Linked DNA regions of Mus musculus: regions 2, 3, 4, 5 and 6 are each reported to be linked to region 1. The links are microRNA targets in miRTarBase. Many come from high-throughput screens and were not tested one by one. Region 1 holds a microRNA gene; each other region holds the end of a gene's coding sequence.
Evidence for each region. Region 1 holds the annotated microRNA mmu-miR-324-3p (CCACUGCCCCAGGUGCUGCU, at 1,332-1,351, opposite strand). A microRNA usually pairs through its seed, bases 2 to 8, with sites in the 3' UTR of a target mRNA and lowers its output. Matches are read on the target gene's strand: a 7mer-m8 pairs with bases 2 to 8, a 7mer-A1 pairs with bases 2 to 7 and ends in A, and an 8mer does both.

Region 2: the mRNA of Vezt is a reported target of mmu-miR-324-3p. Seed matches in the 3' UTR shown: 7mer-A1 at 77-83.
Region 3: miRTarBase lists Garnl3 as a target of mmu-miR-324-3p. The part of its 3' UTR that is shown has no 7-base or 8-base seed match.
Region 4: the mRNA of Nfib is a reported target of mmu-miR-324-3p. Seed matches in the 3' UTR shown: 7mer-A1 at 2,067-2,073 and 8mer at 310-317.
Region 5: the mRNA of Rabgap1l is a reported target of mmu-miR-324-3p. The part of its 3' UTR that is shown has no 7-base or 8-base seed match.
Region 6: the mRNA of Cbfb is a reported target of mmu-miR-324-3p. Seed matches in the 3' UTR shown: 8mer at 4,564-4,571 and 8mer at 3,857-3,864.

Annotation. Positions count from the first base shown.
Region 1 is chr11:70,008,372-70,013,445 of GRCm38, reverse strand. It overlaps Mir324 (microRNA 324), which reads right to left and starts at 1,403; the gene lies at 1,315-1,403. Dvl2 (dishevelled segment polarity protein 2) reads right to left here. Exons shown (of 15, transcript NM_007888.4): 13 at 4,986-5,074; 14 at 4,451-4,669; 15 at 3,337-4,302. The coding sequence ends at 3,854. It overlaps Acadvl (acyl-Coenzyme A dehydrogenase, very long chain), which reads left to right. Exons shown (of 20, transcript NM_017366.3): 7 at 1-12; 8 at 145-274; 9 at 363-488; 10 at 800-998; 11 at 1,156-1,260; 12 at 1,676-1,762; 13 at 1,848-1,910; 14 at 2,000-2,101; 15 at 2,181-2,278; 16 at 2,368-2,440; 17 at 2,525-2,597; 18 at 2,676-2,748; 19 at 2,846-2,921; 20 at 3,010-3,263. The coding sequence ends at 3,150.
Region 2 is chr10:93,965,447-93,970,520 of GRCm38, forward strand. Vezt (vezatin, adherens junctions transmembrane protein) reads right to left here. Exons shown (of 12, transcript NM_172538.5): 12 at 1-5,074. The coding sequence ends at 4,747. Among named protein-coding and RNA genes, the nearest start is that of Mir331, 4.1 kb to the left of the region's middle.
Region 3 is chr2:32,982,458-32,987,531 of GRCm38, reverse strand. It overlaps Garnl3 (GTPase activating RANGAP domain-like 3), which reads left to right. Exons shown (of 30, transcript NM_001355200.1): 30 at 702-1,307. The coding sequence ends at 876. Among named protein-coding and RNA genes, the nearest start is that of Slc2a8, 2.9 kb to the right of the region's middle.
Region 4 is chr4:82,292,582-82,297,655 of GRCm38, forward strand. It overlaps Nfib (nuclear factor I/B), which reads right to left. Exons shown (of 12, transcript NM_001113209.2): 12 at 1-4,230. The coding sequence ends at 4,101. Among named protein-coding and RNA genes, the nearest start is that of Nfib, 210 kb to the right of the region's middle.
Region 5 is chr1:160,252,969-160,258,042 of GRCm38, forward strand. Rabgap1l (RAB GTPase activating protein 1-like) reads right to left here. Exons shown (of 21, transcript NM_013862.5): 20 at 4,475-4,567; 21 at 3,604-4,298. The coding sequence ends at 4,284. Among named protein-coding and RNA genes, the nearest start is that of Mir1927, 40 kb to the right of the region's middle.
Region 6 is chr8:105,215,589-105,220,662 of GRCm38, reverse strand. It overlaps Cbfb (core binding factor beta), which reads right to left. Exons shown (of 6, transcript NM_001161458.1): 6 at 2,674-4,759. The coding sequence ends at 4,737. Among named protein-coding and RNA genes, the nearest start is that of D230025D16Rik, 7.1 kb to the left of the region's middle.

The sequences.
Region 1 (5,074 bases):
GAGTGGCATCTGGTAAGGCAACCTTAAGAGACCCAGGGGTAAGGAGTGTGACACTGCTCACGGTGTTACAAGGAACTGCCTGGGGATGAGGGGGTGCAACTCTGGTGGTCAGGATCCCCAGTGAGCCCGTTCTCTCCCCCACAGGGCAGGCTTTGGCTGCTTTCTGCCTAACAGAGCCCTCGAGTGGATCCGATGTAGCCTCCATCCGAAGCTCAGCCATACCCAGCCCCTGTGGAAAATATTACACTCTCAATGGGAGCAAGATCTGGATCAGGCAATCTTCCGTTTCTCTTCTACCCTTCAGCCCAGTGGCCTGACCCTGCTGCTCTAAACCCTATACTAACCACCTCACTCTTCCACAGTAATGGGGGCCTGGCTGACATTTTCACTGTCTTTGCCAAGACGCCAATTAAAGATGCAGCCACGGGGGCCGTGAAAGAGAAGATCACAGCTTTTGTAGTGGAAAGGAGCTTCGGAGGGGTTACCCAGTGAGTATGGGGCAAAACAGAATCAAGGATGGGGACAGCACTGGGCTCTCAAGAGCAAATAGTCAATACAGGCCACGCTGGGGCTATCTCTGTACAAGAGGCACCCACAGGAGGTGAGCAGTTTTGTTTCCACTGGGGGAACACAGGCTAACAGGCCATAGCTAGATATCCGTAGCCCCTGGGGCACATAGGCAGTGCCCTGTATCCTTTTTATAGTCTGGGGAGTTCTCCCCTGATCATGAGACCCGAAAAGGCCGTTTTCCCCCACAGCAACCTGTTCATACCTCAACTTTCCTGCCCTGCCTTTTCAGTGGGCTCCCTGAAAAGAAGATGGGCATCAAAGCATCTAACACGTCAGAGGTGTACTTTGATGGAGTGAAGGTGCCATCAGAGAATGTGCTAGGAGAGGTGGGAGATGGCTTCAAGGTTGCTGTCAACATCCTCAACAACGGAAGATTCGGGATGGCTGCAACCCTCGCAGGCACCATGAAATCCCTCATTGCCAAGGCGGTGAGTCCCAGCCCAGTCCCTAGCTAGCACATGTCCCTGACTGCCTCAGAGCGCCGACACACACACATGCACACTCGACCATCGGCACAGTTAGGCCTCCAGCCCGTCCAGGTGGAAACTGAAGAACCACAGTGGGGTAACATGCGCCCTCTTGCAGGTTGATCATGCTACTAATCGTACCCAGTTTGGGGACAAAATTCACAACTTTGGGGTGATCCAGGAAAAGCTGGCTCGGATGGCTATTCTGCAGTATGTGACTGAGGTAAGGGCCTCCTGGGCCCCTTCCCTGGAGCCCTATGGCTTTCTTCACAGTTGGGTCAGACTACAACCCCCAGCAGCACCTGGGGCAGTGGGTCTCCAGCTTTACACCAATGCCCTAGGGGATGCGAGGAGGCATAGTCAGTTCTCTTCTGGAGGGTGGTGCTGCTCTGCTAAATGCTGCCCAGATGCACCAAACACGACTTTTAACCCACCCCTTTACAAAGTCGGAAGCCTCGAAGCCCCTGATATACCAGAGGGTCACATATTGGACATATTTGACCTGACCAGGAGGCTAAAGTGAATTCAAGGGTTGGAGGAGTAGATCAGCACTGGTCTTGAAGGTCTGAGCATTAGCCATTCTGTCTGATGCAGCCCTTCCCTGTTGTCTTCCCCATGTCCCGACCATGCTCCCTTAGTCCATGGCTTACATGCTGAGTGCCAACATGGACCAGGGATTCAAAGACTTCCAGATAGAAGCCGCCATCAGCAAAATCTTTTGCTCGGTGAGGACCCAGGTGTGATGGGAGGGCGGAGTCCAGATTAGGACCTCAGCTCAAAAATCCAACTCATCTGGTTCTCTGTCCTCAGGAGGCGGCCTGGAAAGTGGCAGATGAGTGCATCCAAATAATGGGGGGCATGGGCTTCATGAAGGTACAGAGTATTCCTCGGCAGGGGGGGGCATCTGTTCAGAGTGGACAGGCACATCTCAACAGAGGTTTCTGTGTCTTCCTGCGTGCCAGGAACCAGGGGTGGAGCGTGTGCTCCGAGATATTCGAATCTTCCGGATCTTTGAAGGGGCAAATGACATTCTTCGACTGTTTGTGGCTCTGCAAGGCTGTATGGTAAGAGGAAGGAGGATGAGAGAGAGCAGCTGGGGAGGACACTGAGTCCTCACTGTCGCCGTCCCCCTTCTCTCCACAGGACAAAGGAAAGGAACTCACTGGGCTGGGCAATGCCCTGAAGAATCCTTTTGGAAACGTTGGCCTCCTGATGGGAGAAGCAGGCAAACAGCTGAGACGGTACCTCATGGGCCGGGGCCAGGGTCAGAGTCAGGGTCAAACAAGATGGGAGGCCGCAACTGACCAGTCACTCTTCCATCTCCTCTCAGGAGGACAGGAATCGGCAGTGGTTTGAGTCTGTCAGGGATTGTCCACCCAGAGTTAAGTCGCAGTGGTGAACTGGTGAGTGAGCCTTAAAGCAGAGCCTGCGGTGGCTGTGCGCTGCCTTCCTCTCCTGAGCTCTGTCTGTGACTCTTGTCTCTTCAGGCAGTGCAGGCTCTGGATCAATTTGCCACCGTGGTGGAGGCCAAGCTGGTGAAACACAAGAAAGGGATTGTCAGTGAGTGAGCTCTGCAACCCCCTTCCCTCCCTGATTCCCTCCCTCCGACTAACAGCCCCACCCTCATCTACCTGACAGACGAGCAGTTCCTGCTGCAGCGACTGGCGGACGGCGCCATTGACCTCTATGCCATGGTGGTGGTTCTGTCCAGGTAAGGCGGCAGCGAGGGACGCTTGGCAGGCTAGAGCCACAGAGGAGCTGGGCCAACACCAGCACTCAGGATCATTTTAACCTCTGTTTCCTCACAGAGCCTCAAGGTCCCTGAGTGAGGGCTACCCGACGGCACAGCATGAGAAAATGCTCTGTGATAGCTGGTGCATTGAGGTGAGCCTTGGAGCTCCCCAGTACAGGTGGGCCTTGGAGCTCCCCAGTACAGGACGGCCTGACCGTCCCTCCCCTTCCCTCTCCCCAGGCTGCAACTCGGATCCGAGAAAACATGGCCAGTCTGCAGTCCAGCCCTCAGCATCAGGAGCTCTTCCGGAACTTCAGAAGCATCTCCAAGGCCATGGTGGAGAATGGTGGCCTGGTCACCGGTAACCCCCTGGGAATCTGAGACTCCCAATCAGGCCCTGGCAAGGTCATGTGCCTTCTCTGATGCCAAAACCCTTTATGGGGGTGATGGAGTACTTATTGCCTTAACAATAAATTTTCTACCAAGTCACTGTCTGCCGTGAATGTCACTGCTCCCTCCTCTCCACTGCCTGCCTCGCAAAGAAAGGAGCCAGAGGCTTGGGGAGTTGGCCTCTATTTGCTTTATTTGGTGTTTTGTACAAGTGACTAAAATAAATAGAGTAACAAAGGCAGCTACACAGTCCCCAACACACCACCAGCCTCCTTGGACTGCTGTCTGGGGTACCCAGCCCACACCTTCTTCTTCCCAGGGTACCACTGACCACCACCCACCCTCAACATGAGAGCTGACTAGGCACCTGGAGGTGGCGGTCATATTCTGGGGTTAGAAGGGATTCTCCATATAAAAGAGGAACTGTCTATTTAAAAAAATACTCCCCCAAATATAAGAAAGTCTATTTTAACCCCCCAAAAAGCTTATAAAAAATAAAGCTAAAAATAACCAAAGGTCCCCATCTACCCCCGAGGAAGAGGGGGAAGGACCAGGCACTGCTGGTGAGAGTCACAGTGGCAAAAACGTTTTGGTAGGCACCAGCCGCCAGGCTGAGCCCAGGCACTATGAAGGGCACCAGGCTGAAACTTGCCAGGCCAAGGGCACAGACCCAATGTGGCCTCAAGATGGGTCCCTACATAACATCCACAAAAAACTCACTGGGGTTGCCCATGGCCATGTGGAAGCTCTGACGGCTAGCTGTCAGTTCTGGGGGCACGGAGCCCAGGTCTCTGACTGGAGGGGCACCAGGGGGCTGCACTGCTGTGGAGACAGGGGGTGGGGGTGGAGGCATCATAACTACCATCATGGGGTTATAGGGGAGAGCCATGCCAGATGGGGCTCCATAGGGATGGAGCCCGGGAAGAGCTCGGAGATTAGGAGGAGCGCCTGTCGAGCCCCTGGATGGAGGAGGGCCGCCATCACCAGTCCCACCAGGCTCCCCACCCCGCCGAAGGCTGCCTCCCCGGCTGGAGAGTTCTGACTCACTGCCACTGCCGGACTTGGACTCAGGGGCCCGTTCCTCAGGCCTGCCTGTGCGCCCAGCCCCCCCATCGCTTCTTGTCGACCCGCTGCTCCGGCTCCCTGTTGGAGGGCAGAGGTGACGAGGAAAATGAAGCTCAGCCCAGAGTCCTCAGGATCCCAGTCCCTGCTCTTGCCTCTCCTCCCCGAATCCGCTCTACTTGTGCCCACTTTCTCTGGCTGTACTGGTACGTGGGAGTGGGTCACTTACCCTCACTGTGCTGGCTGCTGGCACTGCCTCCACCATAGGTGTACGAAGAAAGCTCGTGGTAGGGTGGAGGCTGGGGGCTGTAGGGGTGTGGCGCTGGATACTGGTAGGAGAAGGTGGGCAGCAGGGGCCAGGGAGTAGCTCCAGGCAGAGGTGCCAGGGTATCCTGGTCTGAAGCCCCACTGGAACCGTCATTGTCATTCAGAGAGAGGTTAACTAGGTCTGGAAAAAAATGGAAGAGAGGTCCCTGCTTTAGGAGGCCAGGATTCCTGAGAACAGAGAAACCTGAGCCATTTCCCCAGAGCTCCCCACGAGACAAAAGCCAGAGACCATGATGGCTTACAACAGGAAACTCTGCTGCTCTGGCAGAGAAACAGCCAGGACTCTCACCAATAGCCCCAAAATGCTTTTGTGAGCCCCGTGCAGCACTCTTTCCCTTGGGGATGCAGCTCAGGTACCTCGCTTACTCAGCAGTACTACTCAGCAGTACCGGGGCACACATCAGCCTGAGCTCCTACAGCCAGACCTGCTGACTTACAACTCTCACAGCCACCACTGAGGTCCCCGAAGACATAATAGCACTGCTCAGAGAAAGTAATCTTGTTGACGGTGTGCCGGATGAGTCCC
Region 2 (5,074 bases), not on the chromosome of region 1:
TCTTAAATAAGAGAGCCAAAGAAATTCAGGACAGCATGTGGTTTCCAATTCAAATGGAAAGTATATATGACAGTAATCACTGCAAAAGAGTTACAGGTATAGAACCAACTTTAGAGAAGGCAAGATGTTGGGGAAAATTATCTTGTATAACAATACTTTCATATTGAAAGTAGGCATTTAACCCAGCAATTTCACTGGGTCAAAGACTGTAATCCAGCACGTCATAAGAAATCCTTCAGAAGAGTCAGTGAGCGTCAGCAGTATGCCTGTCACTCTGCATCTGCCTGCTCTTACCTTACACAGCTTAACTAGCAGAGTCATCTAGTCTTCACAGCAGGTCGGAAGGCATGCGTGAGAGCGGACAAGGGCCGCTAATTCACGCACACTTAATCTGCAGTAACAGGAACGGAGGAATCCCTACCAAAACTGAACGCATGATGACTGAAGCCCAGTCAAGTCAAATGGAACTTAATAAAGGGACAGTTCTTGGCGTTTAGTGTACCAGAGGATAACAACCCGTGTTAATAATGACCATTTTGAGCTGGCTGTAGTAGTCCATGTCTTTCATCCTAGCACTTGGCAGGCAGAGACAGGCAAATCTCAGGGTCAGCCTTGTCTACATAATGAGTTCCAGGGTAGGCAATATAGAGCAGCCCTGTCTCAAAAAACCAATGGCTATGATGATTATGATGATGAATTTGTGTCTTTGTGTACATGTATACAAGAGGGTATGCACACACATATTCATGTGTATGTACATGTGTGTATATGGGCTAAGTCAGAGGTTGAGTTGATGTTTAGGGTTTCCCTAGACCACTCTCACTGATGAGGCCAGAGTGGCTGGCCAGAGACTTTCTGGGGATTTTTCTGACTCTAACCCCAGGCATGGGGTTATAGATGTATGCCATATATATGCCCAGCTCTTTTATATGGGCACTGGGATCTGAGTGAAGGTTCTCATTCTCGTACTTGTTTAGAGGACACTTTACCCAGTGAGTCATCTCCCCAGCTCCTTGATAACCGTTGTAATATAGCAAAGATTATGGTGTATTTCATACATTGCTAGAGAACTGGGCTGTCCAAATCATTTATTCCCCTGTCAAGTCTGCCAGTTCTTACTAAATGAGTCAGGTTTAGTTTCAAACCAGTAACTCTTGGTAATAAGACATGCTATGCAGAATTCGGAATAATGACATAAACTTTAAGCCTGTGTACTGAGTGAAAACTAATTAACCAAAACAAATGGCCAACATTCTTCTGAAACACACACAGTGACATACAAAGGGGAGAGTCGGTTTTTCTTCTACAGTTACATTCATTGATAAAGAGACCTAGCACATCAGCATACAAACACCAAATTAATATTTCAAATACACGGCAATCACATTTTTAACCAAGTAATGTCTTAGCCACTTCTTAGTAAAACACTAAATGCACACACAAGAATGCTAAGCAGCAAACCAGGCAATACAAGGTTCATGCACACGACCGACAGAAAAGCTCTCGGCCTTTTCCAGTCTACTTACTCTTAGTTTAGACACAGTTCTAGCAAGCGTGGCAATCGGGTTTCTCAGTCCACAGCAGATTAAAAGCAGCAAATTAGGGGCCTAGTGCGGAAGGCAGGCACACAACACGGCGGATTATAGGGGAAGGTAAGAGAAACTGTGAAAAAAACAGACACGACTCAAAAAGCAAGCAATGTGAAATCTCGCAGCAAAGGAGTGCCTGACGTTATCAATCCCAGTTGTCCCCGAGAGGGGACGTGTGCATTCTTCCCCAAAGGAACTGATGTCCCCAAAGGACAGGCTAAGCTAGTTCCGGTTCCCAAAGGACAGGCTAAGCTAGTTCCGGTTCCCAAAGGACAGGCTAAGCTAGTTCCGGTACGTGCCAGAGTTAAGGGAGAAAAGGAGACGTGATCCTGTAAGCAGACTGTTAAGTCCAAGGACTAAATACATGGGCTTGCTTTTGTTCCCTGAGAGATGAGGGGACTCAAGTTAGTCACCAGCTGACGAAGACAATGAACGGTCACTATACTGGACATTTTGCTGTCTTTTATTTCCTACATTTTTCTTTTTGAATCTTTTTTTCTAATTTAAGCATAAAGTACAAATAAGTCCCCATACACAGATCTGGAAAAAACTCACTTTTGGCTTCAGGACTTGGTTCTGGTATCCTTGCTCTATTTGAGTATAAAAGCAATATGCTATGGCTAACTGATAACAGCCCTCCCCCTAGTGTTTCTATTCATTTAGCAACTTGAAGCATGATTCATGTTTTGCATGGGAAGAAAATATCTGAGTGACACAACCTGAGGTCAATTCTATCAACACCCAGCCAAGTTCTAGTCTTTTAAATGGATCAGAAATTGACTTTTCTTATGCTTACCATTCAAGCAACTGTCTTTTAGTATATAAAGTAGGATATTACTATCTACTTTAATAAATGGAGCTATACATTTATAACTTCTCCAGCCTCCAAACCAACATTTCTTTCTGCATTTCCAGGAATTACAGTTTTCCTGAGAAGACTCTCCCTAGATGATAAGGTCACAGTACTTGAATCCTCTGAACAAAAGGCCTGGGATTCAAACTCCCGCCTCTTTTTGCAGACACCTGGCACCTGTTGTTTTCTTTTCTTTCTTTTTTCTTTTCTTCCTGGACAGGTTCGCACAGTGTATTTCTGGCTATCCTGGAGCACGCTCAACTGGCCTCGGACTCGCAGTAGCCTTCCTAACAGTGCACCTGGGGTGCTGGCATCACCAGTACAAGTCGCGTCACGGTCTGAAATCTGTATTCTTAAACATCCTTAGCAATCTGCCTTAAATGTGTGTTCTCTTCCTAACTCACTTATCATCAACTCCTAATAGGTTCAGATGCTGTGACTATTAATTAGTTTTAAGAAGGACAACAAGGGCTTTATGAAGTTAGATAATATGCATAGCTTGCACAAAAAACCAAAAAACCCAAAAAAACCAAAAAAAAAAAAAATCACAGAGGACTGCAAATGAAAGATTAGCCAGGACTCTGGCCCTGCATCTGACAGACATCAGGGCCTTACAGAAACAGAGAAAAAGTTTTGAGGCTTGCTAGGTGACCACAGACCACTTACTGTCCCGACCTGCCCATCTGCTAGGTGACCACAGACCACTTACTGTCCCGACCTGCCCATCTGCAGATGCACCAAGGGTAAAAATTCTGTTTTCATGAGTGACCCCAAAACAAAAAGCACGCTTTTTTTTTCTTCTGAGTTCTAGATTGATCCTGGTAAAACCAATGTTGGCAGTATCTGTAGTAAAAGCTGTCAGAATACTACTCCCAAAAAGATGAATCATGCTATAAAAACTGGCAAATAAGATTATGAATGGGTTTCTATGAAATTGCTATGGTTGAATCAAAATAGACTAAAAGAATTAAAAATGACTAAGTTTTCCTGTGTTAAAAATTAAGAGAACGCTTAACAAAATTTCCCTAAAAAAACTTCCTTTTCTCTTGAAGTTAAGCATCTTCCATGTCTGACTTAAGGGACTGACGGCTCTGGCCATGCTGCACTGCTAAGTATCAGCAAAGGCAACATCACCAACAGTGTAGACAAAGGGAAAGATTTTCCTCAGGAGAAGAAACAGTTCCAAAAACAACAACAAACCTTGAGAAGAAGTAAGCTTCCTGCTAAAAGCAGTAAGTTACAGGAAGTCAGATACTTTCCTCCTGAAACAGCAGCATCAACTGAGTTTTGTTGTTTTGTTTTTGTTTGTTTTTCTTTCTTACATTCCTCACAGAAGAATGCCTATAAAGTCTGGGAGCGCACAGTGGCAACAGGTTTCAGAAGGAGACTGTTTCTGCAAATTTCATTGAAAACACAATTCCAGCACAAAGCGGACAAGACTGGTCTCTGGAAAGCATCTCGAGACGCATTCACGATGAAGCACAAAGGGACAAGGATGCTTTCCAAGATAGCTGACGCGTTTCCTGAGTCTTAGTAAGGCAGGCCAGGCTAGAAGACAGCACAGGACCTACCTACTGCAGAGGCACAGTTGTCTTCCAGTAAACTGATGTAAATTAGTTCCTGCAGGGCTGGGGCTGGGGCCTTTGCTGGAGTGACAGCGCTTGGACATCATGGGGTGTCCCCTAAGAGGACATTGTCCTCTTAACCTCTGCATGACCCGTGAGAAATGTCCAAGATACGCTGCAGTCCCAGCTCCCTGCTAACTACTTTCCAGTTCCAAACCCCAGCACACATCGGTTGTGGTAATTAAATACTTTTATTTAGAACCTGTCTCTTTGTTTTACGAGTGGTATAAACAAAATAAAGTACGAACAATGTATTAACATGACCGCTGCAGTTCACACTGCAAGGACACAGTAGAAAGGGCTCATTCTAAATGTTTCTGCTCGGGAAGACAATCACCCTAGTTACCTTGTGGCAGCAAAGTTTTGGCAAAAAGTGATAAATTCATGTCTTATTAAAAGTACTTAAAGATTTGCCAAGATTATCAGTTTTGCCACAAATAAAACAGCAGTTTATTTATTTATTTTTTAAAAAAGTCCCTTACCTTTCTCTCCTATGCCTAAAGGATCTGACTAGACAGGTATCTACTAGTTTCAGGTCAGGTTTTCAAATCAGTATTCACCCTGTAAATTCACGCCGTAGCCTTATAGAGAGTAAACACACACTCATTTCTCTTTCCAGTCTTGCAGCTAGAACACTTTTGTAAAAAGAACAATCAAGGCCATCGCTTCATCTTGGCTTTTATTTTTCCTCCACCTCATTTTCACCGCCTTCAACTAGCTGTTCTTCCTCCTCGTCGCCAAAAGTTTGTTCCTGCATGGTGGTAAAGGACAGGGACCGGGCGGCCACTTCTGCAGCCAGGCCAGCAGAGAAGGTGAATTCTGGTGGCAACTGGAGTCGAGCCAGCCTCTGCTTAATGGAGAGTTGCAGTGTGTCCCTGGGAGTCGGAGGGGCAGTGGCCCCCGCAGCAGCAGCCTGAGGAGACTTAGCCTCACTCTCATGCTGGTGGCACATGGTTTCCTCGGCTCCTGGAAGGAGGAGGCCTGTGTCTGCAGAGGTGTCTTTGCTT
Region 3 (5,074 bases), not on the chromosome of region 1:
CAGCAACAAACCCACTGTAAGTAGCTGGGCATGATGGCTCAGGCCTGGAATATCAGCACCTAGGAAGTAGAAACAGAAGAATCATTGTAAGTTCAAGGCTAGCATGACCCTGGTTCACAGTAATAATATTAAGGGGCTGGAAAGATATCTCCGCAGTTAACAGCATTTATTGTTTGATCTTTGAGGACTCAGTTCAGTTCCCAGTACTCACATGGTAGCTCATAATTATCTGTCATTCCAGTTCTAGGGGACCCAATGCCCTCTTTTAGCCTCTCAGGGCACAGAGATGCACAGGTATAAAGATATACATGCATACCAAACATCAATTTGCATAAAATAAAAATAATGATAAACAACAACAACAATAAATCATGGTAGGAAGGCAGGTAGAAGGCCCACTTGGCTAAGGGTCAAGAACAGAGGAAGCAGCACAGGCCTGGCTTGGACCGCATGGTAAGAACGGGCACAGATAACAGGACTCTGAGCCACTGCTCTGAGCACGGTGCATGGCCAGGGACACAGAGAAGAAGGGACCAGCTTCACAGAGTGCTAGGGAGGCCGCAGGAGGTCACGTGGACAGGGTGGAGGGCAGCATTCAGGGCTCTGGGGCATTTGTGGGATCACAGACTCCCTAAGAAGTGAAACCCTGCACTTGTTCACCTCGGTCCTCCCACCCTGTGACAGCAGCTTCTCTCTTCCAGGATCCCATCAGGAATTTTGGAAAGTCCGGCATCAGAAGCCAATCCCGAGGGCCACAACCACTGGGCAAGTTCTGAGCAGGACGCTGGGGTGGATAAAGAGGGCAGCCCGGGCTCAGGCAGCAGCCCCTTCCAGCTCATGGCCTCCTCAGAGGAAGACATCATTGACTTGAAATAGAGTCTATGCCCTATTGGCCATCCTTAGTTTTCTTACGCAAATTTATACTGTTCAAGCAGCTCCAACGTCCAGTCTCAACACAGCGCGCCTTCGGCCAGGCAGCGATCCACGGACCAAACCTCCTGCGCCCTCAGCCGGTGGGTCACTTCTCCAGTGTCCAGTGCCATCTTTCTCGACCCTGTTTCTTTCCATTCAAGAACCGTCGGTCCCCTTGTAATAAAGGTGGTAGATTTCATTAAGGTTTTAGATCAAAACTTTGAATAAATCAAAAACGTTCATTCTTATTCTCTGCAACCCTTCTCATATTTTATAGGTTTAGATGGAAATTATTTTTTTCGAAAATTTTGACTTATGTCATATAATGTTTCTTTTATGGAAAAAAAGATGCTGCTTTTTAATTTTACTATAATATAAATAAGCTTTCTTTCTTGGCCCTGTTACTGCCTGTTCACTGGGGTGGGGCCCCCTGCACTCCTGCCTGGAGCCCTGGGAAAGATGAATGAAGCCTCCTGCTTCCTCTGCTTTCAAACAACAAGGCCAGGGCACCCGTCAGCGTCTTAGGATAATTCATCTCACGACTGGGAGGTCGTGATGCCGGGAACCCTGCATCCTTGCCGTTGAGAGCGTCCAGATCCCCTGACTTGAGTGGGTCCACCTTGTTTGGTTTGGTTTGCAGTGTCGGCTGTGGAGCCCCAGGCCTTGCATGCACCAGGCAAACAGGCTGTTGCTGAGCTGAGCCCTGCTGTGTTCTTTCATGTGAACCCAGCAATTGTTCTTCCTCTTATAGATACATTGGAATGTGAAGGGCTGGAGAAATGCCTCAGCGGTTAAGAGTACTTTAGAGGACTCTTAGTTAGGGTGTCCATTGCTGTGAAGAGACACCATGACCAAGGCAACTCTTTGAAGGACAACATTTTAGTTGGAGCTGGCTTACAGGTTCAGAGGTTCAGTCCATTATCATCAAAATGGAAGCATGGCAGCATCCAGGCAGGCGTGGTGCAGGAGGAGCTGAGAGTTCTGTCTTGCTCTGAAGACAAACAGAAGACTGGATTCCAGGCAGCTAGGAGGAAGGTCTCAAAGCCCACCCCCACAGTGATACACTTCCTCCAACAAGGCCACACATCCTAATAGTACCACTCCCTGGGCCAAGCACATTCACACCACAAAGATCCTGGTTTAATTCCCAGCACCCACATGGTGTCTCACAACCATTTGTAACTACAATTCCAGAGGATTTAATGACCTTTTCTGACCTCCAAGAGTAGGAGGCACACACATGGTGCACATACATGCATGCATGTACACTTATCAAAATTCATTTTATAAGTGTTAGATTTTTTTTATAAAAGACTTTTTTTAATGGGCTAGAGAGATGGCTCAGAGGTTAAGAATACTATCTGCTCTTTCAGAAGTCCTGAGTTCAATTATAATAAAAAAAAAGATTTTTAAAATTATGTGTATGCAATGTGCCCCTGTGTGTATGTGCACATGACTGTAGTTGCCCACAAAGGCCAAAAGAGGACAGAGCCCCTGGAGATGGAGTTACCGGCATTTGGGAGCTGCCCAAACTGGTACTGGGAACCCAACCCAGGTCCTCCACAAAGTCTGATTTTTAAAATCCCTACCTACCCTGATTCCCCTTCGTGCCCACAAGGCCACATTGTCAGCCCACAGGAAGCAGGTACGAGGAGTTCTGATGTCACAGTGTGTGTCAGGGGTTAGAGCTTTAGCTCCTTCCTCCTTGCAGGCCATAGGGAGTACTCCCTTCCTTTCCCTTCCCCCTTCTGCACAACAATTGAGTGTGATACATGGGACTGAAGGTGCCTGGACTCTCTTTAGCTTTAGAGGCAACTTCACGCTGCGTCGCAACCCCATCAGCAGATTTATTAGGTCTGTTCTAGCTTTTGTCCAGCTGGAGGCTTGTGGGGATCCATACAGAGGCTGGAGGTCCTCAAGAACCATGCACTTTGGTTTTTGAGAAAAACCATGGTCTGGCAGGGCTCACCAGTTATGCTAGGCTGGATGACCAGTGATCCCCAGGGATGGCATTACAGACATGCCCCGCCACACCTGCTTTTGCAAGAATACTAGAGGGTCAAACCCAGGTTCTCATGCTTGCAAAGCAAGCATTGCATCAACTGAGACATCTTCCAGACCATCTGCTTTTAAGGTAAGAAAACAGACTCCAAAAGAGTAGATGGTTTGACCCTTATGTTCTTTTAGTCCCAGAAACATGTGCCTCTCTCTGCCCCGTGTGTCTTTCAGAGGCAGGCTAAGTATTTCCTATCAGCTGGGCTTGGCTGCTGTTTATCTGTTTTAGGATTAGGGAGAAGAAGTTCAGTTTCCTGGAGCCAGGGCTGGCCTTGAACTTTTGATTCTTCCACTGGACCTTCCAAGTGCTAACTGGGAAGCAGGCTTGTGCCACATGGCTGGCTGCTGGTTTTTCTGTTATACAAATTAAGGAGCTTGTGTCTGTATTTTTCCTGTCGTTTTTTGTTGTTATATCTTGATGAAACAGGAAAAAAAATCAAGCCTGTATTTATTCTTCCAGGACAGTAATGAAGCCGCTTATGACTAAATAAGAGACAAAGGTATGAGAGATACAGAGGAAGCAAGAGAGAGATCTGACTCACCAAGCTAGTATTGCTTTGCTCATAGAAAGGGACGGGGGGGGGGGGGGCTTTCCTAGAGACAATATCTGGTCCAGATTGGGCAGGGATACCACTAGCCAATGGTTCCTAGGTGCCCATGACTCAGAAGTCTGGTGCTAGCTGGGCTTACTGTAGCATCCCTTCTACATAAGCCACTCTGCTGAGCCAGTCACTCGGGTACAAAGTACCCAGTCTGGATACAATTCATCCATGACCTTTACTCTGCAGACATCAGAAACCTGATGCCTATTGGGAAAAAAAGAGAGAAGAGCAGGTGATTTCAAAGCAGTGATAAGATCTATCACCCAAGCAGGAAACTTCGTAGAAGGACAAGCCGGTATTGCCCGCCCGCCTTTAAGAATAGTCTTGTGGGCTGGTGAGATGGCTCAGTGGGTATGAGCACCCGACTGCTTTTCCAAAGGTCCGGAATTTAAATCCCAGCAACCACATGGTGGCTCACAACCATCCGTAAGGAGATCTGACTCCCTCTTCTGGAGTGTCTGAAGACAGCTGCAGTGTACTTACATATAATAAATAAATAAATCTTTAAAAAAAAAAAAAAGAATAGTCTTGTGATCAAAACTTCAAACTGCTGGTTGCTACAATTGGGTGGCTGCAGTAACGTAAAACCACTGTACAGACGGGATGGGCATTTTAAGGCTTAGCCTGCTCACAGCCCTCTAGAGATGAAGACACCCAGGCACAGAGAGGGACTAGGTGCCTCTCACTGGTTCTTTCTACATCTGTACGGATGAAGCTGCCACAAAGGTAGCGATTAAGCAGAGCAGTAGAGGCACACAATCACAGGGAGACTCGGGGCGGGAGGACAATAGAGATAATTACCATGATCGTGGGGTAACCAGGGAACAAGGGAATCACTAAGTTCCACTCTGTCCCACTTCTGGAATGGGGGACCTTGCCTGACAGGGTCCTCATCATCTCAGAATTCTAGACATTTGTAGCACTCATGATGAAGGTGAGCTGCTACCAGAAGCACCAGGTCAATGTCAGAAAGTCCAAGGATAGGAACAGGTGGCCCAAGAGAGTTTTCTTGGAGCCTTTTCACCCTGACGCTCTCTGAAGCAGAAGTCAAAGTTGGGGAGGAGCCTATTCCAGGGAACTGTGGGTAGTAAGGGTGGGAAGTCTTTCGGGAGCCAGTGTGATCCATCGCTGACCCACTACTACCCTCATTAGTGGAGGCTAGATTTAGAGACAATTCCATATAAAAATTAAAATAAAATAAAAGTAAAAATATAAAGGATGGCTCAATGCTTACGAACACTTGTTCCAGCAGAGGGCTCAAGCATGCACACACATGGCTCACAACAATCTCTAACTCCAGTTCCGTAGGATCTGATGATGCTTTCTGAATTCTACAAGCACCAGGAATGCATGGGACACACACACACACACACACACACACACGTGAACATGTAAACAACACTCATACAAATAAAGTTTAAATAAAAGCAAAAGAAACCACCAAAATAGGGGCAGCGAGATGACTCTGCTTGTAAGGTGTTTGCCCTCAAGCTTGACGACCTCCG
Region 4 (5,074 bases), not on the chromosome of region 1:
TCTCTAAACAAGGAATATTCTTGTTTACTTTAAAAATGGAAACAACATATAGTTCCATTATAATTGTTAAAAAGTTAGCTTTACAAACATGGGAATTTTAATTTAAAAAAAAATTCTTAACAAAACTATACAGTGTACAAATTACTGTCTACAAGGTAGGCGGTTCATTAAGAAGGCCAAGCTCTTCTCTCTCCTCGCAGCTTCACAGACTCATTCACATACTTTATAATGGAGCTGCCCACCCGAAAATTACCCGATAACTATATTGCTATACTTAAGGTTTTGCCATGTCTTTATGTACAGTCTCCTTCACTGCCTCTCAGGTTTTTTTTCCCCCCTTAGGCAAGTCTCGACTGCTCACGTCACTTCGGGAAACACACACTTTAGAGGCACTGTGAGTGGTGGGCTGCAAAGCAATACAACAAAGGTTGGACAGTGCCATGAGCTGGTGGTGGGAGACACCACCTCCTAACAGATGCCCTTGGGTGACCTTCACCATCCTGAAGCTCTGCAGTCTGGGTAAGGAAGGGGCGTGCAAGACCTGCAAAAGTGGGGCCCTTCGTCAGAATATACTTCCTGGTTTTAAAAAAAAATAGAAGGCTAAACGTGGATTCGAGATTTTCTATAGTAGTGCTTTTTTAATAAGTTTATCTCAAAGAAAAGAAGAAACATTGAACTAGGTTAAAAAAAAAAAAAAAAAAGGAACAGTTGCCCTAGGCCTCTGTACCCAAGAGGCAGGCAGGGATGCCCACAGTGTGCCATGTACTTTAGCAACAATTGTTCATTCACGGGTGACAAGGAGAGGGGACTGCCTGGAAAGAATACTGTGTCCTGTAGGGTTGCACTCTTCAGCAAATAGGTCAGAAAGACACTATGAGCTTGGCTGAGAGGATGTGTTATCTGCAAAGCAAGTAACAGACAAGGCTGGCCTTTCTTAGAACCTGCATCCTAGAATCCCACTGTGCTAACCAGCATGTGGTCATGAATGGACTAGTCAGATTTAATTCCCGGGCTTCTGAGCATCGTTCTCATGAACTCACTATTAAATGATCTGCTATGCATACACTTGACAGTTTATTTACTAGGGCAGGGCCTGGGGTGGGGCTGGGGGTGGGGTCAAGAGAGCTTCTTTACAGCCGACTGCGTATGTCACTAATTCCTAAAGATCTCCTTGGAGCAATGGATACACTCAATAGGACCAGGTGGGGGATGGGGAAAAGACAAAATAAAATTGGTCTCTATTCACCTGTAGTCCTCAGGGGAAATTAACTCAAATATATACTTGAAGTACCACCCGTTCAAATCAACCCCCACCATCATTATCAAACACACTTAATTCATCCACAGAAAAATTGGTTGCTTAAAATTCTATATTTCCCTCTGCTCCACTTTCCAGTTTACAAGGGCAGGTAAAATAAGAGGATTGATTTATTCTTGTTCCTTAAAAACTGAACTTTGATTTTACTCTATCAGTCCAAATACATCCAAGAAGAGCAACCCTCTCTCTAGTCAACCTTCTGGATGTCAAAGAAGAAGATCCTAGGTGCAACACCATTCATTTTGAAGTAGTAAGTCACAGGAGCAGCCTATCCTGTCATTAACAAAATGACAGAGGGCGGGGAGGGACTAGGGGAGCTCTCCCTCCAGATGGGGGAATGTGTTTGGTAGAAGAAAGCTTATTCCTGTGTTAAACTCAAAAGTGTGAAACAGCCAACATCTGCTATGTGGGCACTTCAAGAAATGTCTTTGCCAAATATGAGACAGGCTCACTTTCCACTGTGGTTTCAGGAACTTTCAGGAAAAAAAAAAAAAAAGAAACAAAAAACTATCAATAACAACTAAAATAAGACAGGGCAGTTCCTCTAAGTTGGCCTCTAGGAGGCTTTTGCTGTGCTTGCTTTTTCTTCCTGGTTTCTTAGCTTGGAAACCAGAAAGGAGTTCAGCTTGCACTCCAGGTGGGAAAGTACGGGGAGGGGTGGAGGGAGGGAAACCTGTTTAAGTTGAAGTTTGTCACAGTAGGCAGAACAGTTGCTTTGCAGCCCAGGCCCATCTCAGGGTGCAGTGCTTCACTGCTACACTGTAAAGGGTTAAAAATCCTCCCACCCACCCCTGAATATATATATATTTATATATGTATATTAAAAAAAATCCCCTGTCCATCTCTCAGTACACAAAAGGACCTCATCACACTGCAAAAATAGCAGTACCCACTTTGGTCAATTAAAACAAACAAACAAATAAACAAACAAACAAAAAAAGCATACATTATTTCTTTTTTAAATCTGTGTACTTACCTATAATAACCAATACAGCTAAAAGCACTACCTACATAGGCAAAACTTGGTATTGCATAATTCGTATAAATTTGAAACCCCTCCCCCCCAAATATTAATTGGAAGATGAAAAACATGAAAGGTTAATAGAAAAAACACCAAAAATACTGAAAATATTGCTGGTCGATTACAATTTTTAAGCGGCAACTATACACAGCCATGATATGCTTTATAAATGTGAGATAAAGGTGTAACTGTCTAAAAAATCCATGATGTCACACATTTTTCTTCGTCTGGAGTACAAAATATTTTGTCATAAAAATGGTAAAGATTTAAAACGATAATAAATGCAGCAAAACAAGTGTAGTGATGTCACTTTTGTGGTTTTTTTTTGTCTTTTGTTTTTTTTTTTTAGATTTCAAGGCAAGGCACGTAATGTGGACATTATATCTTCGTGCAAATTAGGATTACTGGAAAGAGTACTTTTAATTAAAATTTTAAGAGACACAGAGGCAGCATGTGTCTGCCCATGCACACTATAGATCTGTCAATACGAGAAATGTGTTGAACAAGGCTAATGTCCGAAAGCACCATGCATGTTCCCAGCACCCTGATGGCACTTCTCTGAAGAGCGAGCGGGTTTTCCTAGCCTACCTGGCATTCCCAGCCTGTACACGGGGAGCTTTACCCTTGTGACATGGATTTCCCTGCCTCTTTGTCTCTACGATGCAGATTGTATAGAACCGTTTGTACACCCTATGGGTTCTTGATGCAACCAGTAATTTTAAATAAATAATCTGACCTCTGAGGAGGCTGCAGCTAAGCCAACCTAAGTGCTGTGTTTTCAATATTTTTTTTATTTTTTATTTTTTTTCTGTTCAAGCACATGATTTGTCTTGATTTAATGCCTTATTTTAAATGCCCTCAAAAACTGAGGGGAAAATAAATTCGCTCAAAATTATTTTAAATTCTTTTTAATCCCCTCAATTTAGAGTCCAAGGGCTGAAGGACTTATAATCATGATTCCCCTTTAGATATAAATTTATAAATTGCACTTGCCTCTGTTAAGTGTTTCTTTTGTGGGGAAAACATTATATTACTTTTTACTGTTGCATGCAGAGGTAACCCTTTACCCACATAGAGGCATTTCTTCCATAGAGCCTTTGAGTTCAAACTGTTTTTTTTTTCCCTATTTTTCTTTTTTCTCTTTTTTTTTTTTTTTCCTTTTTAAGATTTCAAACTGGGTTACACACTGGAAAAGGCTGGGTTAAGGGCCAAAATTTAATAAATCTGTACGGATAACTAAAGGCTACAGAGATTCTTTTATATATATATATATATATATATATAATTTTAACTTTTAGAAATCAGAGTGCTTATAAAATGGCTGGCTCATGGCTCTGTCCCCAGCACCTCTGACGCCGCCTCCTAGCCTTCGTTGTTGAGATAACCAGGAATAGTGACTCCATGCGTAAACAACAAGAATACTAACCAAGAAAACTAGCTTATCATGCAAATATTAAGGCATCTAGAAAGTCAGTTAAAATATATTGTCATAGAGACAGAACATCTATTTCCCAGCGGACTTCATGTAACAAAGGCTACGGTGCAGGGGCTGCAGTCTAGCATCAGTGAGATGTCATTGACCCTTTCCTGTCACTATAGTCTCAACCTTAAGGGAATTAGTGACTGTAAGTGCTGCAATGCTGGTCTACCGTCTTCTTTCTTCAGTTTCTCTCCTTTCTCCCTGTTGTCCAGTCTTCCTCTTTTCCTTTGTTGGGTGTTTTTCCCCTAATTTTCTTATACTATGGTTGTGGTTCTTTCCCCTCAGTTGCTTGTCTCCGCTTGAAGGAAAGGCTCTCCAATTATGTTCAAACCATAATTTTGGACATTTGCCGGTAAGATGGGTGTCCTATTTGACACTTGAAAAGGAACCAAGCTAGCCCAGGTACCAGGACTGTTGAGAGGAGACGGGAAGAAAAAAAGAAAGAAAGAAAAAATAAGACAATGTTAAAATCTCCAGCCATATCATAAATATAAATTCAAAATGCATTAAATTACAACTATTATATTTTTAACTTTTTAAACCAAAATTTTAATAAAATTTAATAATTAATAGCATGCATTGACTTTGCTATATTATATATATTATGCTTATATACATATATATGTACATACATGTGATAACTTCTAGATTATACACATCATACAGGTGTAATCTATATGATCTCTTGCTTCCATGAAAAGACCTAACTACTATGCAGAAAAACACAAAATGAACTATATTCACTATATATAATTGCTGAACTCTAGTTAATTAAGGAGACTCTTTTTTAAATATCTGGCCCATTTCAATGCACTGTATGCAATATGATTTTCATTGTTCAAACAAAAAAGACGAAAAGCATAAATTTGTAGCCATACTAGACTACTGTAGTTTGCTAGATACATTAGTTGTGTTTAATCTTTAATTCATAAGACATTCTGGGTGAGGTGGGTTTATCGACCTGTTGGGTTACATACATTTGAAAATGTAATGAACTACATATTCTTTTCTCTCACGTGAGAAAATAATAGAGTTTCAGGCATGTGCAATATATAGTGAAATACCTAATGATCACACATAACTGAAGAGTTTTAGACAACCAAGTGGATGTCTATCCTCGACCACACAGAGCCCAGCTGGTTGCATTCTGTACAAAAGCCCACTGTGGAGGGTGCAGCTCGGGGGCTGCTGGGTTCTCTGGCGGTTTCCTGCTCTCCTCTATAATTTCCTTAGATAGAACCAAAGATTTCCTTTC
Region 5 (5,074 bases), not on the chromosome of region 1:
GATAATGATACTTTTCAATGGAAGAACAACATTTTTTCCACAGTAAATTTATGTCTTTTGACATCCATTAGTAAGGAAAGCCTAACACACTAATGTAAAAAACAACATGAGAGCTACCTCCTTCTCTTTCTCAGGTAAGAAAGAAAAACTTAGTATGATTTACAGAACTCATTAGAAGAATCACTTCTTCCCCCCCCCCCCCCCCGTAAAGTCACGTCATTTAGAAATACTGGGTCCCTAGGGTTTTGTTTGTTTGTTTTTGTTTTTTTAAACATTTACTTATTTATGTATAGTGTTCTACCTGCATGTATACCTGCAGGCCAGAAGAGGGAGCCAGAGCTCATTATAGATAGTCATGAGCCACCATGGGGTTGCTGGGAATTTAACTCAAGACCACTGGAAAAGCAAGCAGTGTGCTTAACCTCTGAGCTATCTCTCCAGCCCAGAAGAATCATTTCTATCTGAATTATATTCTGTTCAGATTTGGATTGGTTCTGTGGTTCTGGGGACCAAACCCAGGGGCTTCCTGCTAGGCAAGCCTTTCACCACTGACTTACTGATTAGACTTATGTTTTGGCTTTAAAAAATTTACTATACCTAATTAAGCTCACAAAGGCAGTTAAATATTCTACATTTAACCATATTGACAATGGCTAGATAGCTAAGCTCTAAATTACATATTTATGATACTATACATATCTTAAGCCCAACAGAGTTTAAGCATTCCACGCTCTTCCCAGGATCTTTCCCTACAGAACAGGTAGCTTTTACTCTGCTTTGGGAAATTCACTGCATTTAATTAATTACTTGTGTTTTCGAAGGCCTGACCTGCATTAGCATCAGCATGTCTTAATTAAACAAGAGAAACAGTGCATCCTTCTGTAAAAGGCTGCACTTCTCTAGAAGCCTCAGCAGCTGGCCAGACCACTGAAGCTCTTCCGCACATTGAAAGTGACCCATGTACTCAGTGTATGAGAAGGATACTGGTCCCTAACATTCTTATATGCTTTGGTGGGTTTGCTCACTGATAAGTGAAGTGATATAACATAGATATACCTATTCACAAATGTATATTTGGGGGACATCATTAGCCACATCTATAGCTCATATTTCACCCCATTTGAACTCAATCAAATTTACAAACCAAAAATCAGATAAAAAACCAATATTGCATACATTTGATCAGGTTAAGGAGGAAGATAAAAAAGGTTTTAAAATAATACTGAATACTCATTTCCTGGAAAGTTTCCTTTTTCTCTTTTGGAATCTTCTGGAATTAAGCAGAAAGAGACTCCACTAAAGGCTGTAAGCAGTTTTTTGAGGGTTCTCTGCATCTCAGTACAAATTTGATGCTGGATTAGGCAGTGTATATATGTGGGGGGAGGAGGGGGGGGACTCCAAATATTCTACCTGAAAATTAATAATCAAAAGTCTTTAGTTAGCTTGAATTTGACAAAATTTGCACAAGTATGACTTCTACGTGAGTATTGTATTTTGATACAAGTTACTTGTGGCTCACGAAAGAAATGATGGAAGGACCGGGGATGCAGCTCAGATGGCAGAGTGCTTACCTAGCACACAAGAATCCCTGGATTCTAAGTTCAGTTCCCAGCATCATATAAACTGGGCATGGTGGTTTATTCTTGTAGTCTCAGCACTCAGGAAGTAGAGGCAAGAGGTTCAGATGTCTGACATAATAATCTTCAGCTACACAGTGAGTTCAAGCCCAGCCTATGACATGGGAGACACTGTCTCACAGAGAAAGAGTAGGGCTGGAGAAATGGCTCCGCTGGTAGAGTGCTTGCCATGCAAACCTCAAGGCCTGAGTTTAAGTCTCTGGCACCTACATTAAGAGGAAGCAAACAACAAACAGCAACAGAGCAGCTATGGGTGAGCGAAATTAGTGACCTCCAAAACTGAGTTCTACCTCCAAAGCTGAGGTAGAGAGTAACTGAGGAAGATACCAGACATTGACATTTGTGCCTCCATGCCCATTTGCATACACTTGTGCATGCATCTGCATATACATGTGTGTGCACACACACAAGCACACACACAAACAAAACTAAAAGAGGGAGAGAGACAGTCAGTCAGACAGACAGTCAGACAGACAGACAGACAGACAGAGAAAGAAGAGAAAGAGGGTGGCCAATATTCTTGAACATTTGTCTTGTTTCGATGTAACTTACATGCTATTAAATCATGTGATTTTTAAAGAGGGATTGCTGAGTCATGGTCTCAATATGTAGCTCAAGCTGGCTTCAAACACTTCACCCTTCTCCCTTAGCCTCTTGTGTGCTAGCATTACATTTATCACCATGTCTGACAAAAATCATACTTTAGTATTCAATTCAGTTACATGAAACTGTATAGACATCACCACTACCCAATTGCTGAACATTTCACCATGCGTAGAATTTTAAAACAAATTTATACCAACACCATTTCTTCTCTTTATTCCTGGTTTGAAACTGAAGTGTTGCATGTAAGTGAGTCCAGCAATATCAAATGACAATGCAATGGGCACAGAGAGCATGGTCAGATGGGAGGCATGAAGTTGCAAGCTCCTGTGCACTGAACCTATGATCCCATACATACTAGGCAATGCCTGAGGTATACCCCTAGGCCCTTGTTTAGATTTATCCAGCAAAAAGCACATGTGTTGAGAGCAGAGTAACCTATGCACTCTTAGCTCTTCCATGCCAATCTGTACTTTTCTGCAATTTCCCTTCTTCAATATCATCAGATGTGGGAGAAATAATAGCACCAAATTGAAACAGCTTATTGTATGACATTTCTGGGTTTTGTTTTTGTTTTTAAATACTCACAGTCTTCCCAACACTCTTGCCACATGGCAATCTGGGCTTGACATGACCATTTATGCAATATGGGTTCCAATGGTAAAGAAGGAATTGTTACTGAACAGGTGTGAGCTTTCAGTGTCTTCAAGATCTTCTTTCTCTGAGTAGCCTTAGCTGTTCTGGAACTCACTCTGAAGACCAGGCTGGCCCTGAACTCAGATCCACCTGCCTCTGCCTCTGGAGTGCTGAGATTAAAGACATGTGCCACCACAGCCAGCTGGCATGTCTTTGTGTGTTATATGTGGGCACACATATGCCACAGTGTGAGTATAAAGGTCAGGGCTTTCTCCTTCCACTTGTGGGTCCAGGAAATGGAAGTCAGGTCATCAGCTTGGAAACGTGTGCCTTCACCAGACAGAGCCATCTCTCCAGACCTTCATTACTTCTTACACCAGATTTTCCTATATCTAAAGGATCAAAAAATCTGCTCATGGCCTGAATTATGTTGGCAATTATTACCCTGAAATGTAATTATAACTTGAAGACTGTGAGTTTGCCAAGTAGATCGCTGGAACCTACACATTATAAAACAGTTACAGAAATATTAATTACAGAATATATTAGAAAACTATAATAATACAAAAATAGCGATAAAGGGCATGTGACATGTGCAGATAAAAGTTACCACAGCATGGGGATGGTGGCACAGGTCTGGATAAAGATCAGCCTGGAATACAGAGCAAGACCCTGTCAAAGTGAAACCCCACACCAAACAAAGAGCCATACCCTACAATACTAGAACTTAAAACACCGATTTTTAAAAGTTTAATTTTATCTCAGTGGAAACTTTACAAATAATGTTATTGTTTATAAGTGTTTATACATGCCTGCTTTAACAGAAAAAGGGTGCAAGGCAGTTACAGTTCAGTTGTAGTACAGCTTCTTTGGGCTCCATGAGACATTTGTCGTCGTTTTATGTTGTGTTTTTAGATGGGGTCTCACTATGCTCCTGGTTTTAAACTCCTGGACATGAATGATCCTCCTATCCCATCGCATTGCCACATGGCAATCTGGGCTTGACATGACCATTTACGCAATATAAATGTATAGACCTGAACTAATGAAGCTATGAATGAGATAATTTTGATTCTCAAACTGCATGCAAATATCACTATTACCTATGATTTGTTTGTGGAAATCACATTACTGTGCTTGATACACCATTTGGTTTTTATTTTTTCTTCTAAATTTGTATTTTTAACATGTGCTATAGTCAGGGACAAGTTTGCAATATCCTCGAGAGTGTCTTGGAACAGTCCCACCTAAAAGTCTCTGTGGAAGTGAACGTGCACTGCTAAAACAGTACTTTTGGCATTTTCTGGTTTATTTTCCTCAATTTTGAAAGCAGAAAGCCACTTTCTTTTTCCCTTTCTTTCAGCTTCTCATGAAGATTCCCAGTATAAATTCAACAGCTGGAGTTACCTATAAATATACAAACTGAAAGAAAAGAAATGTTATAGTTGAATACTTGACTTTTGACTGTCTCAGTTGAAAACGAAGACACACACACATAGTCAGCTTGTCCATGTCTGAGTGGTTCAGAGTTGAACAGAAGCAGCTGAACTCACCACAACTGCTTATCTAGGATAAGTGAAGTCCTTTGTACCCCATACCTTGTATCTATCCATTGGGTCCTCCTGCTGCAGCTGATTCTCCCGCATCGCCTGATATTCTTTTTCATATTTCTTCAGCTTTTTGGTTGGTACCTGCAGTGTTTAGGAAAGAACACATTAGATAAGAACCTTATTTTGTTTAAAAGAAAAAAACACAAATACTTTTGTTTAAAGTATCTCCCAATTATGTTTCTTGTATTCTAAAACAGCATTTCCAACTCAAAGGTAAGAGTAAAAACCAGATTCTAGAATAGAGTCTTGAAGGCTTTTCCTGTAAAGGCCAGTGCAGTACACATTGCAGGCTTTGTAAACCGTGTAGCTGAGGTTAGAAACATTCAACTCCACTGTGATAAAAGGTGCTATGGTCAGTACATAAGCAAATGTGTGTGGCTCTGTCCCAATGATACAAAAGTAGTCATAGTTAATCCCTGTTCTACCATACTGCTGATGTTACAACATTCTGGGAATAAATGTTATTAATTTTAGCTATTGTTACATACAATTTATTCTACCATACTGAGAAACAAATTTTTTATACAATTAAAAAATTGACTAATAATATCATAAAATAAAAAGACTGCAAAGTCTGATGCTGAAACC
Region 6 (5,074 bases), not on the chromosome of region 1:
GCCTGGTCTACAAAGTGAATTCCAGGACAGCCAGGGCTATACAGAGAAACCCTGTTTCGAAAAACCAAAAAAAAAAAAAAAAAAAAAAAGGTACAATTTTTTAAAAATTGCAGTGCCTATACATTTCCCCCTTAACACTGAGTCTCCATACCCACCAGGCCACTATATCTAAAAGATCACTTTGATCTTTAACCAAAAAATTTCTCAAACCTCCTAATCTGTTGGCCACTTCTTGTCCTGGTCCAAATGTCTTCCATTTGATTGACATAATACATTGAGCACTGCTCCTGTCTCACCCATGCTGTAGCCCTTATCTGATGCTCTTTCAAACCTGCTAAGCTCTGACCAGCCGGCTATGTGCATTCAGTATCTTCTCTAGTTGATTGTAGCTTTCGGCTTGGAAGTCTCCTCAGGTTGATTGACTCTAACTACCCAGACCAGCACAGACAGTGCAACTGCCAAGGCTTCCTATATAATTTAAAGGTTGCTACTACATTGGATCAATTTTGGGCATAGACTAGGTTCCAGGAGGTCAGAGACAATGTCTTTTTAGGGCAGTCACTTTATATTGTTTCTTCTAAACTATCCTCAATGATTAAGTGTCCTGCTTGCACATGTATTATATGTAATACTGTGTATGCCTAGTGCCCATGGAGTTCAGAAAAGATTGTTCTAGCCACTGCTAGCTGGAAGTAGGATGGTTATTGAGACACCATGTGAAAGCTGAGAACCAAACCTTGATCCACTGCAGGAGCAAGTACTTTTAACTGCTGAGCTATCTTTCCATCCTCAGATACTTTAATACTTTTTAAAACCATTAATATAGTTTCAACATTTTCTTTGAGCTCTTTCCATTTTATAATTCATTACTGATTTATAATCTCGCTAACATTGATAGCAGCAATATAAGCAATTTTAAAATTCCTTCGTAGCTAGCTACCTTAAATATTGTCATTTTAATATATAGTGTTAGGTCCAAAGCTCCCCCCCCCCCCCCAAAGGGCAGTGCTTGTGGCATTGTCTGAAACTCTGGGTTTCTATTTATCAGGAGTCTCATTTAAGCCACCAGGAGCCTCTCTTAATCGACTGCCCTAAAGGTCAACTACCTCAGGTAAAGGCATCTAGGTCCTGGTCAATCCAGTTTATATCAGCAGCTCAAAGATCCCACTGTTAACACAGTAAAAATGGCTTGTTCTCCCCCATTTTGCTCTTCTGTCCCCCAACTCCTGACAGATAGCCTTGGCAGTCTGACCCCCAGCAAACCTTCCGTTCTACTTGTGAACTGGTCTGCTTCAGTGGTTTCACCTCACCCTCTCTTATAGTTGAAATTTAAAATTGTTTAATACTTTTTTTTAAATAGGGTCTTATTATGTAGCATAGCTTAGGATGGTCTTAAATTCACAATCCTCCTGCTTTGGTCTTCCTGATACTGGTTCAAAATCCTAATTGTGTCAATTTAGTATATAAGGTTTTTTTTTTTTTTTTTTGTCCTGGAACTTACTTTGCAGACCAGGCTGGCCTAGAACTCAGAAATCTGCCTGCCTCTGCCTCCCGAGTGCTGGGATTAAAGGCGTGTGCCACCACGCCGGGCAGGTGTTTTGTTATTTGTATAAAACCTGTTTATTACAAACCAAACCTATGGAATGCTTCTAAAGTAATTTTCTGATGTAGATCCCTGTTCTAGGAATGTTGGGTTTAATACCCACATAATAATTTCTAAAAATAGCCTGGAAGGATATATAATGTTAGAAATTTCCCCCGAGGTCACTGTTTTAAGGTCATACCTTAGAAAATGGATAAACCCCTGAGACTGTTGTTGCCTGGGGGTGGATAGGGGAGGGGCTTTCTCTAGATCTGGTCTCTATGGTATAAATCCATGGTGATCCTCCTGTCTCAGCTGCCTAAGAACAGGGTTACAGATGTGACCCTAAGTTTTTGTCTTAAAATTTTATTTCTTGTATGTATGGGTGTTATGTACAGGCATGTCTGGGTGCCACATTTGTACCTGAGCCAAAGGAGGCTATATGTGGGCTTTAGATTCCTTGGAACTGGAGTTATATACAGAGTTGCCATGTAGGTGCTGGGAATTAAACCAGGACCTCTGGAAGAGTAGTCAGTACCCTTAACCACTGAGCTGTCTCTCCAGCCTCCCCGCCCCCATTTTCATAGTCTATACTTACAAAACCTTTGTAAGTTTTTGTTTTTTATCAATCATCTGTGTATCCATGTGGATGTGCGCTATGTTCACAGAGGCCAGAAAGAGGCGCTTGATTCCTGGGTACTGAGGTGAGTGTGAGCCGACTATTCTGTGTGCTGGGAATCACACTCCTGTTCCTACTATAACCTTCAGCAATAACTAAAGCTCTTAACTTCAGAGTCATCTCTCTAGCCTATTTTGGTTATTGAGAACAGCCCAGGATGGCCTTGAACTCGCCAAGAATGACCTTGAACTCTTGATCCTCCTGCCCCTACTTCCTATATCCACACTCAACTTCAGACTTTTTGAAAACCACATCATGTAATGGGAAGTTACTGTACATTGATTTAAAGGAGTTAGAAGATATGACCACTAGATGGCACTGTTGTTGCTGTCCTTAAAAAAACTGTTATAAAGGATCAAAGACTTGAAGCTAGTAAGACAGAAATCATCACATATCAATAAAGAGTCATGACTTTGTTTTCAGTACACAGAATTTTAATGTGAAAGTAAATAAAACATACAAATATACAGTAAAGCTAACGGCAAAGCAATCTGGAAGCTTAAGGCAAGTTTTAATGGAGATGAATCTTTAAAAAATGATGCAATGATGTCATTTTAAATACAGATTATGAAAAATATGAAATTGCATCAATAACTTAATTTTCAAAGCCTGCACTACCGAAGAAAAGGAGTTTATGATCTTAACGCCAGCATTAAGACAGACAGAAGCAGTGCAGAACCAGTAAGGAACATTTGCTATTTACAGAGGGACGGCCACATTAACACCATGTGATCTTACTGACTGCCGGACTGGAAGCTCTTGGCGAGAAGCAACAGAGAAAATGTACCACCGAGATGTTATTTTAAAAAAGAAAGGATCACTTTAAAAAGGTAACTCCCGAGAGGCATCAGGGCACTGAGAGTGTAAACATGTGAGCTGTACAACACCAAATACCAAGCAAATTCATTCATAGTGCTCAGTAACACAAGGTCAGCATCAGCTTCTGTAACACATTATTGTTTATAATAATTCAAACACAATCCTTATCATGCACGACTTCAAATATATAACAAATATTTTTATTTTGAGATACAGGGTACTTGTTTATGAATTATAAGACCTATATACAATGAAAGACACACTTCCACAATCAAGTATCTTTATATGCTTTTTAAATGCAATGACCTTATTCAGACTTTTCTGAATTGACCATGTCAGTTTTTAAAATTTTCTAAAATAATGCCATTTTATGATAAAATACATTTTTGCAAAAATTCAGAAATGTAGTAACATTTAATGAATACGACCACGGAAAGTATTGTAAGCATGTGCCAATGACTTAGCACTTTTTCCAGTTTTATATTTAAAAAATTGCAATTTGACACTAAGCCTGTTTTAAAAATATCGTTACATTGATTCATCTCAAAAGGCACTATTAATAGTCCTTTTGTAAAATACCATCATCTATATCTGTGAATGTTTTGCCCGGAATCAATGGGAGAAATGCATCTTCTGCCCAGATGAACATTTTCTAAGACTCATCTTCATCACCCAATTTTGTTTCTACAAAAGCATGCAATACAAAATACAAAATACACATGAAAGCAGCTATCTTAAACATTATTTTAACACAATTTACCTGTGTAGCTGATTTATCACTGCCTCCAGTTTAATATGCTGTTACATACAACAAGTTCCAGTATCCTTTTTCTGACTGATTAAAAAAAAAATCCCTGAATAAAACAGAAGCCAGTCTGTGGCTTCTTTGGGCATTTCTGTAGAGCATTCTCACCTGTGAAGAGCATCTCTACCCAAACTCATGATTACAAGATATACCTTGAAACAGGGTCTGAGACAAAATTTAATACTAATGTGAATTTTTGTCTAAAGGGGATAGGGTGACTATCAGCATTTGAAAGGATACTGTGGCTTTAACAACTGTAAACGTTTGTTTTAGGAGGCTGTGGCAGACAGCTCTATTCTAGGTTTATAGCTGGAAAAAATAACTGCAAACACATCTTCATTTGTAAAATGGTGCAGAATACAAAAACACGAAATGATGTAGAGAAAACAAACAAAAACCAAGAACCCTTATCTAAGGAGGAAAGCTGTATAACCAACTCGTCTGAAAGTATAAAAGAATGTTAAGCAACCCTGATACAAATTTTAATTTCTTATCTTGTTTCTAAATGACATGAGCTTTTAAGTTAAAATGAAGAAAGTATATACTTTCGATACAACTAAAATAATGCCAACAAGATAAGCTTGCATAGAAAAAAATTTCAAATTATTACTGGCTACATATTTTAAAAATTAGAAATGCAGGCATTATAGTGCAAAACCATGGCAGTGGGTGACGTCTTCACTGCCTCAGGCCATGAAACCAACTGCAGTCCCTCCAGTTGTCACAGTTTCTGGTCGCCCAATGAGTTATTTATACCAACTAGAAGCAGTGTGTGTAGAGATGGGGCACATAAGCTGTGCTCCACTTAACGAAGTTTGAGATCATCACCGCCACCTAAGTTAGAACCAGGACTAGGGTCTTGCTGTCTTCTTGCCTGCAATGACAAAAATCGAAATAAAGTCATGAATGTGGTTTGAAAACTTAAATGACAGACATACAAGATATTAAGACACAGTGTCATACAAAAAATGTTCATAATGAAAAACTTTTCAACCAATATATATATATATATTTTGGTTTGTTTTTTATTTTGGTTTTTCGAGACAGAGTTTCTCTGTAGCCCTGGCTGTCCTGGAACTCACTCTGTAGACCAGGCTGGCCTCGAACTCAGAAATCCGCCTGCCTCTGCCTCCCAAGTGCTGGGATTAAAGGCGTGCGCCACCACTGCCCGGCCTCAACCAATATTTTA